3 linked regions of the Drosophila melanogaster genome follow. The protein of the gene in region 1 interacts with the protein of each later gene in a pairwise test. Each region holds a gene or a part of one and is shown on either strand. Other genes may lie near its edges.

Region 1 (6,168 bases):
GAGATATTCGGAACACGTACACAGAGATCGTCGATCTGCGGAAAAGAGCTGAGAATATTATTGGTAAATTGCAGCGTGAAAACATCATGACTCCGGAAATAAGAGAGGAGCTAATGTGCGCCAAGTCCAACGAAGAACTGGAGTTCCTTTATGCCCCCTATAAGCCGGCCAGTAAGGGCACTTTGGCGGAACGCGCCAAAGCTTTGGGCTTGCAGGTGTACGCCGATTGTTTACTGTACGGCTCAGCACCTAAGGTCAACCTTTCTGAAATTGTGGACCGCCGAAATGAGGCTTTAGCTACGGAGGCACTTGTGATGTCTGGAATCTGCCAAATTATTATTCACAACATCAGCAAAAACACAAATGTTTTGGAGGAAATACGCAGATTGTAAGCTCTTGTACCTAACTAGGAAGTTTCTATTGAAATTATTTGCTATATCGTTCTAGGCAAAACGTGCACCGGGTATTCCTCAAGTGCAGCAAGACCAAGGAGGCGAAATCGTCTAAATCTAGTTCTTCTAGTAAAGCAAGCTCCAGTAAAGGATCCAACCAAAATGCAGATAAGAAATTGGATAGCTCAAAGTTTGAGAATTATTTCAACTTCCAGGGTGATGTTAAAACTATAAAACCTTATCAAATGTTAGCCATCAATCGTGGGGAGAAGCACAAATGGCTTTCTGTCAAGATAGAAACGAACGATTACCTTAAAAGAGATCTGATGCGCTATATAACCGATCAGTACATGAACCAAGGCTTGCAATATCCATTAAGAAGGGAGGTGTTCACAAAATCCTTAGAGGAGTGCTACGCGAAGAAGTGTAAGATATGGAATATATTAAGACCCCCATATGATATGTTAATTAATTACTTATTACAGTGCAGCCCTTGATGTGCAGGCAGATTCGAGCGGCTTTAAAAGAAAAAGGCACAAAGGCAGCCATCGATGTGTTTGCCAAGAACCTGAAGCAACTACTGTTGATATCCCCCTTGAAAGGCGAACGCATTTTGGGCATAGATCCGGGTTTTATAAATGGATGCAAGCTGGCACTTATATCCGAGACTGCTGATGTGCTGTACACTGGTGTTATTTACCCTCATGGTGCCATGTCAAACAAGCGGGCTGCCGAACAGAAATTGGTTCAGCTTCTTTCAGATCATAAGTATATATATATTTTGAATTCGATTTGCAAAGATAGTTATTAATATGTCTTTTTTGCCTTTCCCAAAAGCTGTAAAATTATTGGCCTGGGCAATGGTACTGCCTGTCGCGAAACTGAGCACTGGCTAACTGGTATGTTTCATGCCGGCGTTCTGGACAGCAGGATCATTCGCTACAGCATCGTTAACGAGAATGGAGCATCTATTTACTCCTGCAGCAATGTGGCCGCCAAGGAGTTTCCCAAAATGGATACAAACGAAAGGAGCGCAGGTTTGGACGAAGATCAAATTAAAAGCAACACAAACAAACATATTTTGTATAGTGTCCATAGCGCGTCGTTTGAATGATCCATTGAGTGAATATGTTAAAATAGAGCCCCGTCACCTGGGGGTTGGTATGTACCAGCACGATGTTCCCGAGAAGATTTTGACGGCATCGCTGAATGACGTTGTGTCCGAGTGTGTCAGTTATGTTGGCGTTGATCTCAACACAGCCAGTCTGAGTGTACTCAAGTATGTGTGATTAAGGGTCAAATAAGTTATATATTTTTAATATTCTCCACCATATAGGCACATTGCTGGTCTGTCGGAAAAGAAAGCGGAAAAGATCATTGAGCATCGTACGCAGAAAGGACCATTCAAGACACGGAAGGATCTGCTCTCCGTGCGAAGCATAGGTGAGAAATCGTTTGTCCAGTGCGCCGGTTTTGTGCGCATCGAACCCCGAAGCGTTGGAGGACAACTACAGAATCCATTAGATTGCACTTGGGTGCATCCTGAGAGCTACAACGTTGTGGAAAGGTAAGTCCAATATTCAATTGACTTCATTAACCAATAATAATGAGACTTTATTCCGCCTGATTCATCGCAAGCCTGGCCTTTTCATCCGCTGCCCTCACTAACAAGGAGGTGTCACTAGGTGTCACAATGTCACTTTCGTGTTGCGTGATGCCAGCTATGTTCTTTGGACAATCGTCGTCAAAATTCTTAAGATTTGTAACATCCTCGCTAGATTCCATTTGACACCAGCACGGAAGGTACGGCTTCAAGGGATCCTTCTTGTCGCAACGCTTGCAGGTGCAGTTCTCCATGCCGGCACTCATAAAAGTCCGGAAGTCCGTCTCCTGACTCAAAAGCCCCAGATAGTCCTCTATAGAGTGCTCTTTCATAGGGTCCATCAGCTCCGCCCACGTCTTTAGCTTCACGATCACGCCAAAGAAATACGTGTTTAAGTCCTCGATTATTTGCAGCACCGAATCTAGCTCTTTCAAGAATGTACTTCCTAAAGACCGGTCCAACCTGGCTACGCGTTGATCTAGCTCCTTTTTCGACTCACTCATGTCCAGGTATAAATTGCTCAAATCGGTGCTAAAAAGTTTTAAATTAGCAGTGGCTGTGTATTTTTAATAGACTTACTTTGACTGATTGACGATATTGTAGGCTCTCTGAAACTCGCAAAGGGCCCGCTCTTCGGTCATCCGGCTTATGTACTCGGGATAGGTCTTAGTGCATCCGGTCGAGCTGGCTAAAATGCGATAACGCACTCCATGGTAACGCATCTCCTTAACCCTCTCAATCTGAAATGGTTTGGCCTGCTCCAGCTCATTCTTCAGGGCCTTCATTTTCTGGTCAACTACTAGAGTTTGCTCGTGCACACACTGCTCAAGCTTAAAATCGTAGCGGGAGTAGATATTCTCACAATGCTTGAAGGTTGGCTTCAGCAAATGGATGGGAATGGTCGATCCCCGGCACGGTGGCGGAAGCGGACGACGCTTGTACCGCTCCGGCGGATACTCCCAGCAAACTCCAAAGCGGGTTTGATCCTGCACATTGAGCGGATGCTGCCAGCAGGGCTTGTATTTCGGCTTATCGTTGTGGCCGTAGAATGCTACCTTTCCACATGCAACATATCGAAGCTTGGCTGGCGGCACAATTGGAGGATAATGCCAGCGCTCCGCATATTCCTGCTTTAGCTTGGCAATCATTATAATGGAAAATTTGAAAACTTAACTCTAAAACCAAATACTTTTTGTGCTTTCAGTATTGTCGGAGAATGTGACTTAAAGCTGTCGGATGTGGGCAAGGCTGCCTTTATAGCTAGCATCAAGCAGTTTGCCTCATCCCAGCCTAATCTCGATCGCATTGCCAAGCAGCACAAGCTGCCCATGGAGCGAGTAAGTGCCACTCAATCTATACTAAACAGGCCTATTGCAATGTTCAAATAATTTAAAATAAATTTCCTTTCAGTTGGAGTTCCTGTTGGTTGCCCTGCAGCGCGAATTACTTCAGGATTATCGAGCAGATCTGGACAAGAGGCCACTGTTCAAACAAGGTCTAACTAGGCTGGATGATCTTAGCATGGGCGAGGTGGTCACTGGCAAGTGGAGACTATGATAGTCATTTCATATATGTACTTATTGAAACTATTCCGACACACAGGTGCCGTGACCAACGTAACCCAGTTTGGCGCCTTCGTGGACGTTGGAGTGGAGCGCAATGGCCTCATACACAACAGTAACATGAATAATTCGCAGCTGAGCGTTGGCGATCGCATTGTGGCATCGGTGGTAAAGGTGGATCTGAAGCGACGCCAGTTGGAATTACGTTTGGAAAATATGCTGATGGAGACGGATACCTCGTTTAAGTTCAAGGCGGAGGATTAGACAAACTGCAGGGATTTAATGCTTTCGGAAGTATTTAATGATTCATATCGTAATTGTTTGGTTGCTCACACGAGCATTCATATATACTATATATAGTTCATATATATATTTATATATATGTGTATATGCATAGTATAACGGCTTTCCTAAGTTTAATCAAAGCTTATCAGTTAGTAATAAATGTTCACATAAAAATCACCGTCTCCACGTTCGTCTTCTTGTTTCCCTTCTCGCCACAAGTTGGCAAGTTGTCTTAAATGAATTGTTATCGAAAGGGTATTGCTTTAGAAACTAAGTGATGCCCTCTTAAGCCAGTTAAAATAAATATACAATATGCATACATTTAGGCGCTTGGTTTGCAGCAGGCAAGTTGCTTTCACTTTTAGTTAGTTTGTATTTTCGAATTTATTGCCGTTTCAGTAGAATTGTTAAAAATTATTATAAACAATGTTATATAGTCTGCATTTACATAATTACACAATACCATAATCATAATATATTCAAAAATATATGATGCATTTAATTTTATTTTTTCCTCCATCTCTCTTTACCCCGTAATGGATATTTAATTTCATATTCTAGCTACATGGACATGTCGCGTAATCAACCGATAGTTGTTTAAATAAATATATTAATCCGTACATAATATTGGAGTAACTGTTCCTACACAGTTAAATGTGATAATGTATCGCAAAAGACCAAAAACAAGTTGTACACGGTATGGTAGTAATTGCTTAAGCTTAATGCTAATGCGCTTGTCCTCTTCTCAATTCTCATTTCGTTATTGTTACTGCCGATGTTCTCCATCTTGTGGTTGTGTAGAGATATTGTTCATTAATTAATAATTTATTTTTATCATTTATAATGATAGCATAGGTAATGATGTAAGTATTGTTTATCAACTCTTGTAATAATAAGTCTATGTGTATAAGCAGTTTTCATTCTCGTTCCTAAACAGCCGTCCAGCAGAATCTTTGGCGGAGCAAATATGAACGATAATTCAAATTCGAATCGATCTGACTGTGTAGCTTTAAATCAGGTGAAACCGATCTCGAATACCCTCATTCTGGATAAGTAGCATGGTAAATATAAAATCAACTGCACGAATTCGAGATAATCCTCTGGTTGCCGAGATTATGCCGATGTCTTCTGATGAACGACCTTTAAACGTAAAATTCTCCCTCGTTAATTATCGCATTGGTAGTCTAATTGTCTCAAATGATCTCTTTCTCGCAACCCCTGATGGGGTTTTAACTGACTGAAAGTGCACGAATTCCGAATTTCTGTGGCAGACACGGCACAGCCGCAACGCTTGAGTGTAAGTGGGTGGGTGGTGGCGTGGCGCGAGTGGTGCTGAGTATGCGAGTGGGTGAGTGGTTCAGTGGTTCTGTGTGGATCTGATCTGTTTATGTTCCCGTCGCAGGCAGCTTGGCATTTTGGAGTATTCTATTCAAATTCGTTCAATCGCCTGCTTCACTGGTGGGGAGAGAAAAGATAGTTACACGCATAAGTCGAAGTTGCTGATAGGTTCAATGTGGGCATGGCACTTACCGATAGCCAAGAGGCGGGGATTGTGATGTAGGTGTGTGTTGGTTATGCGAGTTTTGAAATGATCGAAATCAAGAGCGAAATAAAACGTAATTATTTCTTTTTCTTCTCTTTTCTGCAAGTGTAGAACAATAAGCGAGGTTAGCAATCGTGGATTGAAAACAAAAAACGGGTTGTCGGATGGTGGGAATTCGTTTTGGGATCGCACTAAGCCAAGCTAGACACTGAAGAGTTAACAATTAACATTGAGTTTTGGCCTCGGCCTGCTCACATTTAATAAGACAGGTGATCGGGTCGATCAGTACGGGTCAGGGCATTTACAAGGAGCACCTCTTGGAGCGGATCACTAGCCTCTGAGTTGTGGTGCTTCGTGTGCTGTGGCTGATGTGGCTAAATCTTGGCAAGAGACTAAGTTGCTTAATGGCTTTTCGAATGGATCAAGTGCCGCCAGAGTGGGCAACAGCAGCAGAAGACATCGAACCATCTGTAAGATTGAAGAATTCTTCCATTTGGGTTTTGCTTTTCACATTTCACTTGCATTTGGGTGGAACGTAGCATTTGAACGCATTTGAACGGGAAAACGGAATGGCAACGGGCAACGAGTAACGGCAACTGCTTTGGGTTCACCTAGGGCTCGGGGTCACCAAATGTCGTCGGGTTAACATGAGTCATATATGGGTACATCGGTGAAATCATCAGCAACTTGTGTACAGTGTGTGGGTGTGGGATGGCTTAATTGATTCGTCTACTTAAATTTTATATCTATCCGTTGGATGTGTGCTGGTTTGTAAAACTGGTA
Region 2 (5,740 bases), on another chromosome or scaffold:
GTGCCCAAGTACTTCGACCAGATCTTCGTGTGGGGCAATCCCTACATGACCAACTCCGTTGACTGGAAGTCGACCGACAAGAAGATCGCCGACATCATCATGACCCTGTGGGCGAACTTCGCCAAGACCTCGAACCCCACGAAGTCGAACGTGTACGTGAAGTGGAACGCCATGACCCCCAATAACGATTCAGTGCTTCTGATCGACGAGAGCTTCAACACGGACAACCTGCTGAACAACCAGCGGATCAACTTCTGGAGATCGCTGTACCCCAAGATCCTTGTCTTCTCCGCCGACTGCTGCAACTCCACGTTCTCGGGCAGCGGCCTGGTGATCGCCACTTCCGTTCCCATACTATGTACCCTTAGCATTATCGTTAATATATTTTGAATAAAGAGCTCCTGCAATAGATGACGCTTTGACCCTCTCCAAGTAATCTGTCCTACCGTTACTTATTACTTATTATATAATAAATATTTGAAAACAACAGAACCACATGTACAAAGTTACCACTTGTCGTTTATTAGTCGTTCGAAACTTATAGGATATTGATTTGTTGCTACGACTGCCATATATGTATATCATATCATAGGGAGTAACTCAGAAGTTCAAAGGATTTCGAATGGCGGTATCGATTGAAAATGGTGTGCATTTGCATTTGCACACCAATCCTTTGGATTCTTGGGCATCCTCGATAAACAAGGTTTGGAAATTCGTTTTCGCAGGTTTTACGATGAAGTTCAAGTCGAAGGTTAGAATGCATTTTTCGGTACTTATGTTCGAGACTTATACAATTTCTATACTAACCACCGCCAACTCATTCGCCTTCTATACTTTCATAACTAAATGTCGTTGTCTTGGAGCTAAAAGTACACTCTTGTGGAATTGCAATACTACACCTATTCGTCATCCTCAAAAATGTGGGCGCTCAAGGACTGAAATCCCCAGCACGAATCTTGGAGCTTATTCCATGCTGGTGGGATTAGTTCTTGAACGCGCTTTTTTGGTCGAGTTGTTAAGCCATTGTCAGTGTGCCAGCTCCGATTCCGTAGCCCACACCCTTTGGCCCATAGAACTTGGCGTAGCACGATCGGCAATAGATGCCGCCATCGGGTCCGTCGTTCAGATTGGTCGAGTCCAGGTATTTCCGGCACTCCATGCAGTAGAAACAGAGCTTGTGCCACACGTTCTTCGCGCTCTTCACCTGTTCCGCGGCGAAGACCATGAATCCGCATCGCGGACACCCGTTCTCCGACTTTTGTCCGTTGCGATCGATGGTTCCCCAGCTGGAAGAAGAGATCCTTGGATCCAGACGAACTCTCTTTGAACTGGACAACGGACTTACCAGCTGGGCGTGTACTCGTAGTTGGTGGACACCAGGGTGGGCGTGTGTCCGTACCCGACGCCTTTGGGGCCAAAGAGCTTCGCGTAGCAGAGCTTGCAATAGATATTGTCATCCGGTCCGTCACAGGCGAGCACCGAGTCCAGGGGTCGGGTGCACCTGGCGCAGTTGAAGCACTTCCTGTGGTACATCTTCCCCTTGGACAGCTGCAGCTCGGCCGCAAAGACCGCTCCGCCACATCGGGGACATCCCTCGCCGTCCGGAGCCATGATCGAAGTGGTGTCCGGAGCCACAAAGGGTCGTTCGGATGCCAAGTTCTCCTCACTGTAACAAATCTCTTTCAGTCAAATTATGGATTGGATTTTGACGAATATGATTGAAAGCTTGTTTTATCCAAATTCAAGATGAGCCTTGGAATGGAAACCACTCACGTAATGCCGTCGGTTTGCAGGAAACTGGATCCACAGGCGAATCCGTAGCCATGGGGTCCCCACTTCTTGCCATAGCAAGTCTTGCAGTAGACCTCATTGTCCGGACCATCGCACGCGATAATGGAGTCCAGAGTTTTGGTGCAGTCCCGACACTTGAAGCACTTCCGGTGCCAGCTCCTTCCCTTGGAGAGAACTTGTTCCGCGGCGAATACTACGCCGCCACAACGTGGGCATCCTTCTCCGATTGGCGCCTGGATTTGCTCCACATTTATGATGGAGGCTTTGGGAGCCATGTCGCTGCAAGCACCAACATAATAACCTAGCCAGAATTGGTGTTACTACTAATCTCACCTTTGCCACTCGCTATCCCTGATGTCGGACATCAACCCCAAGGACGAAATGCCGATGTGCCCGTAACCCCTGGCCCCAAACTTCTGAGCATAACATCCTGAAAAGCGAATGCTTCTAGAGATCCTAATTCTCTAAAATCTATGGGTTGGAAATGTACCTCTACAGTAAATGTCCTTGTCCGGACCATCACAGTGAAGAGTTGAGTCTAGAGTCTTGTTGCATTGCACGCACTTAAAGCACCTTCGATGGTAACCCTGCGATAAAGAACACCACCTAAGACAAGGGCCGACGGACCGAGATCGTTTCAATAGTTCACCTTTCCTCTGGCCAGCATCTGCTCGGCGGCATACACATATATGCCACACCGTGGGCAGCCCAGCCCGTCGGGTGCTTTTGGGGGAATCTTGGGCGGAACGAATCTAGAAAGATTCAAATGCCTCCCTCAATTACGGCGCTCTCGGTGGACATCCAATGTGGGGGGGGGGGGGGGTTGTTTCATCTTAGTCACACACAAGACGAGGAACAAAAGTCAGAAAGGTCGGTCGTTGTGCCCGAACAAAAAACGAATTGGGGAAATACACGAAATCCACATAGACAGCAGCGAGGGAGATGCGAATAGAAACCTATAAATAACATGTGAATAAGCTTACAACTACTTTGTTTTATTGTACATTTATTTTATCAATTTACAGTCCGCGGACGTTGTAAACAAAGATACAAGAATTATTTCACCAAAGACCACAATGTGTTTGCTAGTTTAACATTAACAATCGGTTAGTGTTAGTGGAATTTTCCAGGGAATCAGAAACTGGATATCCCTGGCGGTTTCTGCCCGGAAAGTTAAAAACAAATTTTTCGGTTGCTTTTTTGGGGGTGGGCGTGTGGAAAACATTGAAAACATACAGGTTCTAATAGAAAGCAAAACTACACATTTAATTCAAGGAATTTTACACAATTTTCATACAAAACATATTTCTTATTTAGTCCTTACTCTCTGTTTAAGTGGGCGCCAGTGTCCGTGGACAGGCAGCCGGCACCACCACCGAAACCGTATCCCTTGGGACCGTATTTGCGACCATGGCAGTTTTTGCAGAAAAGCTCCTTCTCGTGCTCCGTGCAGTTGGTCGAGTCCAGGGCCTTGTTGCACATGCCTGAAACGGGCGAGTGGAGGGGGAGGGGGGTAGGGTTTTGCGTTAGCTATCCGACATCCGACTCGAAGGACCAAGTCCAGACGATCTGGCTGGCAGGACATTTATACTTACTGCACTTGAAGCAGGTCTTGTGGAATTTGTAGCCTCCGGCAACGCGCTCCTCGGCAGCGTAGACCGACTTGCCGCACGCGGGGCACTTGGGGGTTTCAACGGGAACGAAAGGCATTTTGATCTGAGTGCGTGTGTGTGTCTGCGGGGGCAAAAAACTGTGATTATGGCAAACTGCAGCGGCTATGCGTGTGGTGGATCAGCGCGATTCAATTATATACACACATATATATATGTATATATATATATATATAATCCTAAGGATATATACCTCGGAGGTACTCTGTGAAGTAGTTCCTATTCGTCGGAAATGCCGCGGACTAGACTGGAAAGATTCTGTACACAGGTAGTCTATATTTGTGGATGCACACGGCACAACTAAGAAAATACAGTTTGCGTAATAAAAACAGCACTTTCTGAATATATCATTTATTTATCATGCAATGCCCACGGCTCTATGTATGTGTACTCTCGGCTATATCCACGCCCCGATGTCTCATTCCTGGGCTGGTAACAGACCAGTTAGACTAACTTGGATTACTATATCTTCACCCACTGGGAAGGAATTTGCCTCGTCTTGAAGTAATTTGTTTTGTTCTACTGCACTCTCAAGTGCGAGGCATGCAAGATTTTTGGGGAAAAATCGAAATATATAATGGGCTGTTTCTCACGAAGGTTCTACCCGTATAACCAACCAACTAACCAACCAACCATCCATCCAACCAACTAACCCATATGTAATCTGATTTTACGCAACAATTAATTTATTAGCTTTCGACACGCACACCAAAATCCGCGCAGATGTAAATATGTATGTTTGTAGTCTAAAAATATATGCACACCCATGCGATGTGTATCAAAGTACATTCATGGCCTTATTTTAAACTTAGAAATTCGAAAATAGCTCATAACTGCTCAACCCAGATCCATAAATAAACCCATTACGCATTGATCGCTCGATCGGAATTGGAATCGGATTTGGAATCGGAATCGGATTTACATGCCATAAAGTGTTCGAAAATAGGTTCCAGTTTTCGAAAGAGCGTTTTTGGAGAGTGGATCGAGTGGCCAGCCACAAGTGTTTCAATTGGGGGGCCAAACGAATATGCACATGGATATGAATATGAATATGGATGTGGATGTGGATGTGTATGTGGATGGAGTGAAGCATCTTTTCATCAGCGCCTGCGATGCCCATGTATAAACATATCTATAAATAGAGGGGCTCTGGGTATTTGTTAATTGTAAATCGCTCACTTGCGATTGGCAATGAGCCTAACAATTTATGAAGGCCAGGCCCATTGACTCGACAAATCTGACAATGTGGTTTGCTTTGCCAGCATTGTTTATCCGCGTGCCGATCCGATCCGATACCACCATTATTTTTGGCGACAGTTCAGGGTTAGTTCATCGCCAAGAATGTCGGGAATTAACCACTCGATCGACCGATCGCCTCCAACTCGGAACACGGAAGTATGTATGTCTTAATTACCTGTATGGGTGGACAATTAGTGCAAAATAGACATTTGGCGCAGCGCTGAGTCAGCCACTCGTATTTATTATTAGCCGCATAATTATGAATATGTAATCTAGTTATTCGCCATCTTGTTGGCTTCATTTGGCTCCGCTTAACTATGCATGATATGCAGGTGGCCAAAAATCAACATCCATAGGTTGCTGACCTGGTCTCGCTCCATCCAACAAAGAGGCCTCACCTTCGAGCCCATTCTTCGCCAGAGTGTGGCTGGCGTTTTGCATGACAAAGAAATGAATTTACAGCGATCGGGTCCAGATGTTATGATAATCAGCTTATCAGATATCGTTTATTTTACAAAGTAGATAAATTAATTAATATACAAATAATTATTATAATTGTACATTTGACTTCATCTTTTATTTAACCATCCAATTGTTAATCGTAATTTATACAAATTACAGTCGCTGCAATACAAATTATGCAAAATCATGTATGTATATCATTTACAGTCACTGTATGGTAATATGGTAATTTAGGTGGAGTCCGACTTCAGCCGATTGGCAAACTCGACTTGCTGGATCTCCCTCCACTCCTTCTTTGGCTTCATGCGCTTCAGCTGCCCGTCCCAGACCAGATCAATCAAACCTCCCTGCTTCGCGATGACACTCTTCACGCGGTTCGCGAAGTCGATCGCCGACTCTCCCTCCTGCCTGTACATCGGCGGCAGGTACCACACATCGCACACGATGGCCCACGAGGTCATCATCATGTACAGATACTGCATCATCGAGTACTTCGCGCTGTTCCAGAAGGCGTCGCCGAACCTCGGATCGTACCTTCAAGCCAAAAGAGACCCCACGGATGAGAAATGGTTTCGCCG
Region 3 (3,511 bases), on another chromosome or scaffold:
CAGCTGCATTTCCTCCTTTCCCTCCTTGACCAACATGGCCCACGAATCGGGAAACTTGTGGTGCGACTTGCGCTGTGAACGTGCCATATTCTTGCCCATGCGGTAATCTGGGTTCAAATCCAAGTCACTGGTGTCCAGTACCTCGTCCATGGCGTCCACATCTTGGCCTTTGCGACAGTTCGACTGGACCTCATAGTCCTGGTCCGTCATCTTTTCAAACATGTCCGATTCATCATCGTAGTCGTAGAAGGTCGGTTTCTTTGGTGGACGTCGTCCGTCCACTTGACAGCGCCCGAAAATCACAATGGAAATGTAGATTATCACCAGTAAAGCGACGGAAGTCATTTTCGATAAGTTGTCGGAGTGCTGACTATAGTCGGAATGAGTAAAAGCGGCTGAAACATTTGGCAGAAGAAGGGCTGGCGTACTTGGATTACACATTTCATATAGTATTAATATATTTTTTAAAAGTTGTGAACATATTTAAAGCAAGAGTACATACAAATGGTTTTATTCTTTATTGTAGGGTCTCTTTAAGTATTAATATTCATACAATATTTATTTTATAAATCCGGAGTTATCATTCTCATCACATTTCGCTCGATCTCATCCCGACTGTCCATGAGGCGACGCAATTTAGCATCGTAATCCTCGTATCGTTCTTGATTTTTTTCATCCGGCTGTAATTGCGATGAAGCCTGAAACTCCTCTGATGTTTCCGGTGAGGTCATCCAATATCTCGACTTTGATCCCGTGATGTCCTGGCCGCTGTTCAAAGTGGTTTGCAGCTGGACAGGACCATGGAAGAGTTGCAATAGAGGCGGAACCATCACTCGACGATCCTCAGTAAAAGCTTGTGGCTGGACCTCTTTGTTATCCACACTGTCCTCGAAATGGCAGTTGTCATCAGCACACAGCTCGGTTGCCTCATAGAAATCCGGCTTCTTGGACCATTTCAGACTAGGATGTTCCGTAGGCGTAGTGCCTTGGTTGTTGTTTCTGCATATGTTGTCATTTTTCGCTTTTGACAAGCGGGATTGAAGGATCTGCAGATTATCGGTTATGGCTTTGGTGTGCTTGTGCAGAGATCCCAACAAACAGTTAATTCTCGAAACAAAAGCTTCATCCTCAAAACTAATGTCGTCGTCCTCCTCTTCATAAGCCTCATCATCGCCATTGTCTTCATCACCATCATGGATATCATCGTCATCACTATTGCCCGCAGGATCGGCATTCTCGTCATCGTCCTCGTCCTTGACCATCTTCCTGTCAACCTTGCAGCGATCCTTCTTTTCATACTTCACATCATTCGGATTTTCGGCGGGACATATGCCCGATTGCGAGTCCATGTCGGTATTGACCTTCCACTGATCCCGATCTCGATCGAAATCGTCCTCCATGGCACCGCTTCGTTGCTTCTTTGGCTTTTCAAATATGGAGTTAAAGCCATCAAATGTGTCACCATCGTCAATATACTGTATCAGTTGAGTCAATTGAGTGTGTAGCAAAAGGATAAATATAATGATTATTTTAGTTAACCAGGCCATTTTATTTTGTTAGAGCGTAGCAAATGACATTTAATGCTTTTCGAAACATTTAAACATCAAACGATGATTCCTTGAATTTTAATTGTTTGCTTTTGATTCTCATAAACATTTTCGCTCAACCTCCGGAATGGAAATCTTACAAAACCAATGGATTCCTGTGGCTTTCCTTCCGGTATGTCATCGGTTTGCATTCCTGCGGCTTCTGGCGGCTTCATCTCCTGATGCTTTTCTCCAGCTTTTCCCTGATTTTCCCGCAGTTTCCTGCTGCCACTGACGTCAAGGATGCGGCACTGAAATGTTCACTTATTGCGGTTTTTGTTTCCATTCTTTTACCCCGCCTGTTGTTTACAACCTGCGCACGATTGCCCCAAAGGTGCGACCATGGGCGGGTTGGCATTGGGGGTTGGGAAATGTGGGTGGTGGTGGGTTGTGGATAAAAGGGGGGGGGGGGGTGGCGTCTAACGAATTCATCAGCGCTCACAAAAGATGAAGAAAAATGGTAAACTGAGGCCAAAAGATGGCCACGAGCGAAACACCTACGCAAGCGGAAGGGAAGTCACTCACCATCTCCCACAAAAAACCCCTACACCACGACATGCACTGGAAAAAATGAGGAAGGAAATACAAAAACTTATTTTGAGATTTTGAGATGGTTTATTATAAAAGTTTTTGATTGTCCTCATTCATTCAATCCTATATACTATAGGAAAACATGCATATTTTCTCAGATCTTGAAATGTTGGACAATTTTTTCTTAGTGCATAATCACACCATGCTGAGCGTCACCCTTGCGGAAGTTGCTAAAGGATGGAAAGGATGCCGGTGAGGATGGAAATAGAAATAGAAACGCAGCACAAGTGCTACAGACAAGTCCGATGATGAAGACGATGATGGTGCAGGTGATCCAGGTGCCTCAGGTGGGAGTGGGGATAGTTACGACTTATATGCATCACCGGAGGACGATGGGCGGGGCATGATGAGTACCGCTCTTGGAAAATGCATTTTCAGTGTCGCTTTCCTGCCGTGGGTGCAACAAGCTGTCCCATGAAAATGTCTTTATGCCCGAGCAAAATTGGAAAACATGCGTGCACTGAGGGAAATTCATCGATCGAACTTTTTATGGAAACTACAATTGCGATTAAGGCATCTTAAGTTTTGTTCAATTTGTTATATTACTGTATTTCATAAAAGGTTTTAACTACACCTTTTTCGTTAAGGCCTAAGATTATTAACATTTTACAATAAAAGCTCGTTATTTTACTATTTCTCTAGGTGTAGAGGTATGCTTAAACAGGTTTGCCCCTCAGTTATCATGTCCTCTTAGAGATTTGATTTAATTCCGCCGGCCCACTCTAGCATTTTGTAATTGCTCGACCAGGCGACTTCCCTGCAATTTGCAATTAAACTGCTGCAGTTGATGGCAGTCGTCGTTGGGGAGTCGATTCCATTTCCACAGGATATACAGCGAGCAGGAAAACGCACATCTGTGCGGGAAAAAGTTGGCCAGAGGGAGCTTTTTAGTTCAGTGACATTTAAACTTTAATTTAAAGTGGCAAGCCCTTTTACTCGCAATGGCAATTAGCAGTGAAAGGAGGGGAGAACTAAATGAGCTATTTCTAATTATGTGTTTCAGCGTTTGCCCCTTTTTAATGGAACATAATTTATTTTTCCTGTTACTTTGGGCCATACAAAGAACGAATAAAAATAATTATCAATTATTATTATGCGGCTTCAGTTGAGCGATTTTTAGGCGTTACCAAATGACGCATTTCAATTCAAAATTGTTTAAAAGCCATTTAGACTAATCTATACCACCATATTTCAGAAAAAAGTTTTTGTTATGAATAATTTGGTTAGTTTAAAGCATTATTATCTGTGCTAAAATACATTTTACTAAACGTATACTGACTTAATGAATCACATTTTGAATAAATATTTCAAATAAAGTTTCAACTCATGACTAA

Evidence for each region. Proteins that work in one complex are often made in the same cells at the same time.
Region 2: the proteins of CG13843 (region 1) and Mlp60A interact in a two-hybrid assay, tested with the Drosophila melanogaster proteins (one large-scale study listed by BioGRID).
Region 3: the proteins of CG13843 (region 1) and CG43996 interact in a two-hybrid assay, tested with the Drosophila melanogaster proteins (one large-scale study listed by BioGRID).

The regions. Positions count from the first base shown.
Region 1 is NT_033777.3:22,606,513-22,612,680, reverse strand, and holds CG13843 (uncharacterized protein), read right to left. Parts: upstream 3,197-6,168; 5' UTR 3,144-3,196; coding exon 2,575-3,143; intron 2,527-2,574; coding exon 2,007-2,526; 3' UTR 1,966-2,006; downstream 1-1,965. Other genes in the region: CG31156 (uncharacterized protein), read left to right, coding at 1-388, 448-818, 878-1,160, 1,230-1,429, 1,482-1,671, 1,729-1,959, 3,200-3,332, 3,406-3,535 and 1 more; Efa6 (exchange factor for Arf 6), read right to left, coding at 5,463-5,484.
Region 2 is NT_033778.4:24,072,984-24,078,723, reverse strand, and holds Mlp60A (muscle LIM protein at 60A), read right to left. Parts: upstream 4,123-5,740; 5' UTR 3,655-4,122; intron 3,551-3,654; exon of another isoform or gene 3,526-3,550; 5' UTR 3,502-3,525; coding exon 3,387-3,501; intron 3,276-3,386; coding exon 3,116-3,275; coding exon of another isoform or gene 3,112-3,115; exon of another isoform or gene 2,770-3,111; intron 2,544-2,769; coding exon 2,441-2,543; intron 2,379-2,440; coding exon 2,282-2,378; intron 2,222-2,281; coding exon 2,125-2,221; intron 2,071-2,124; coding exon 1,774-2,070; intron 1,667-1,773; coding exon 1,346-1,666; intron 1,287-1,345; coding exon 1,016-1,286; 3' UTR 501-1,015; downstream 1-500. Other genes in the region: CG10339 (uncharacterized protein), read left to right, coding at 1-390; Gpat4 (Glycerol-3-phosphate acyltransferase 4), read right to left, coding at 5,393-5,696. UniProt on the Drosophila melanogaster protein: Positive regulator of myogenesis.
Region 3 is NC_004354.4:17,020,360-17,023,870, reverse strand, and holds CG43996 (uncharacterized protein), read right to left. Parts: upstream 1,568-3,511; 5' UTR 1,548-1,567; coding exon 564-1,547; 3' UTR 501-563; downstream 1-500. Other genes in the region: CG43997 (uncharacterized protein), read right to left, coding at 1-345.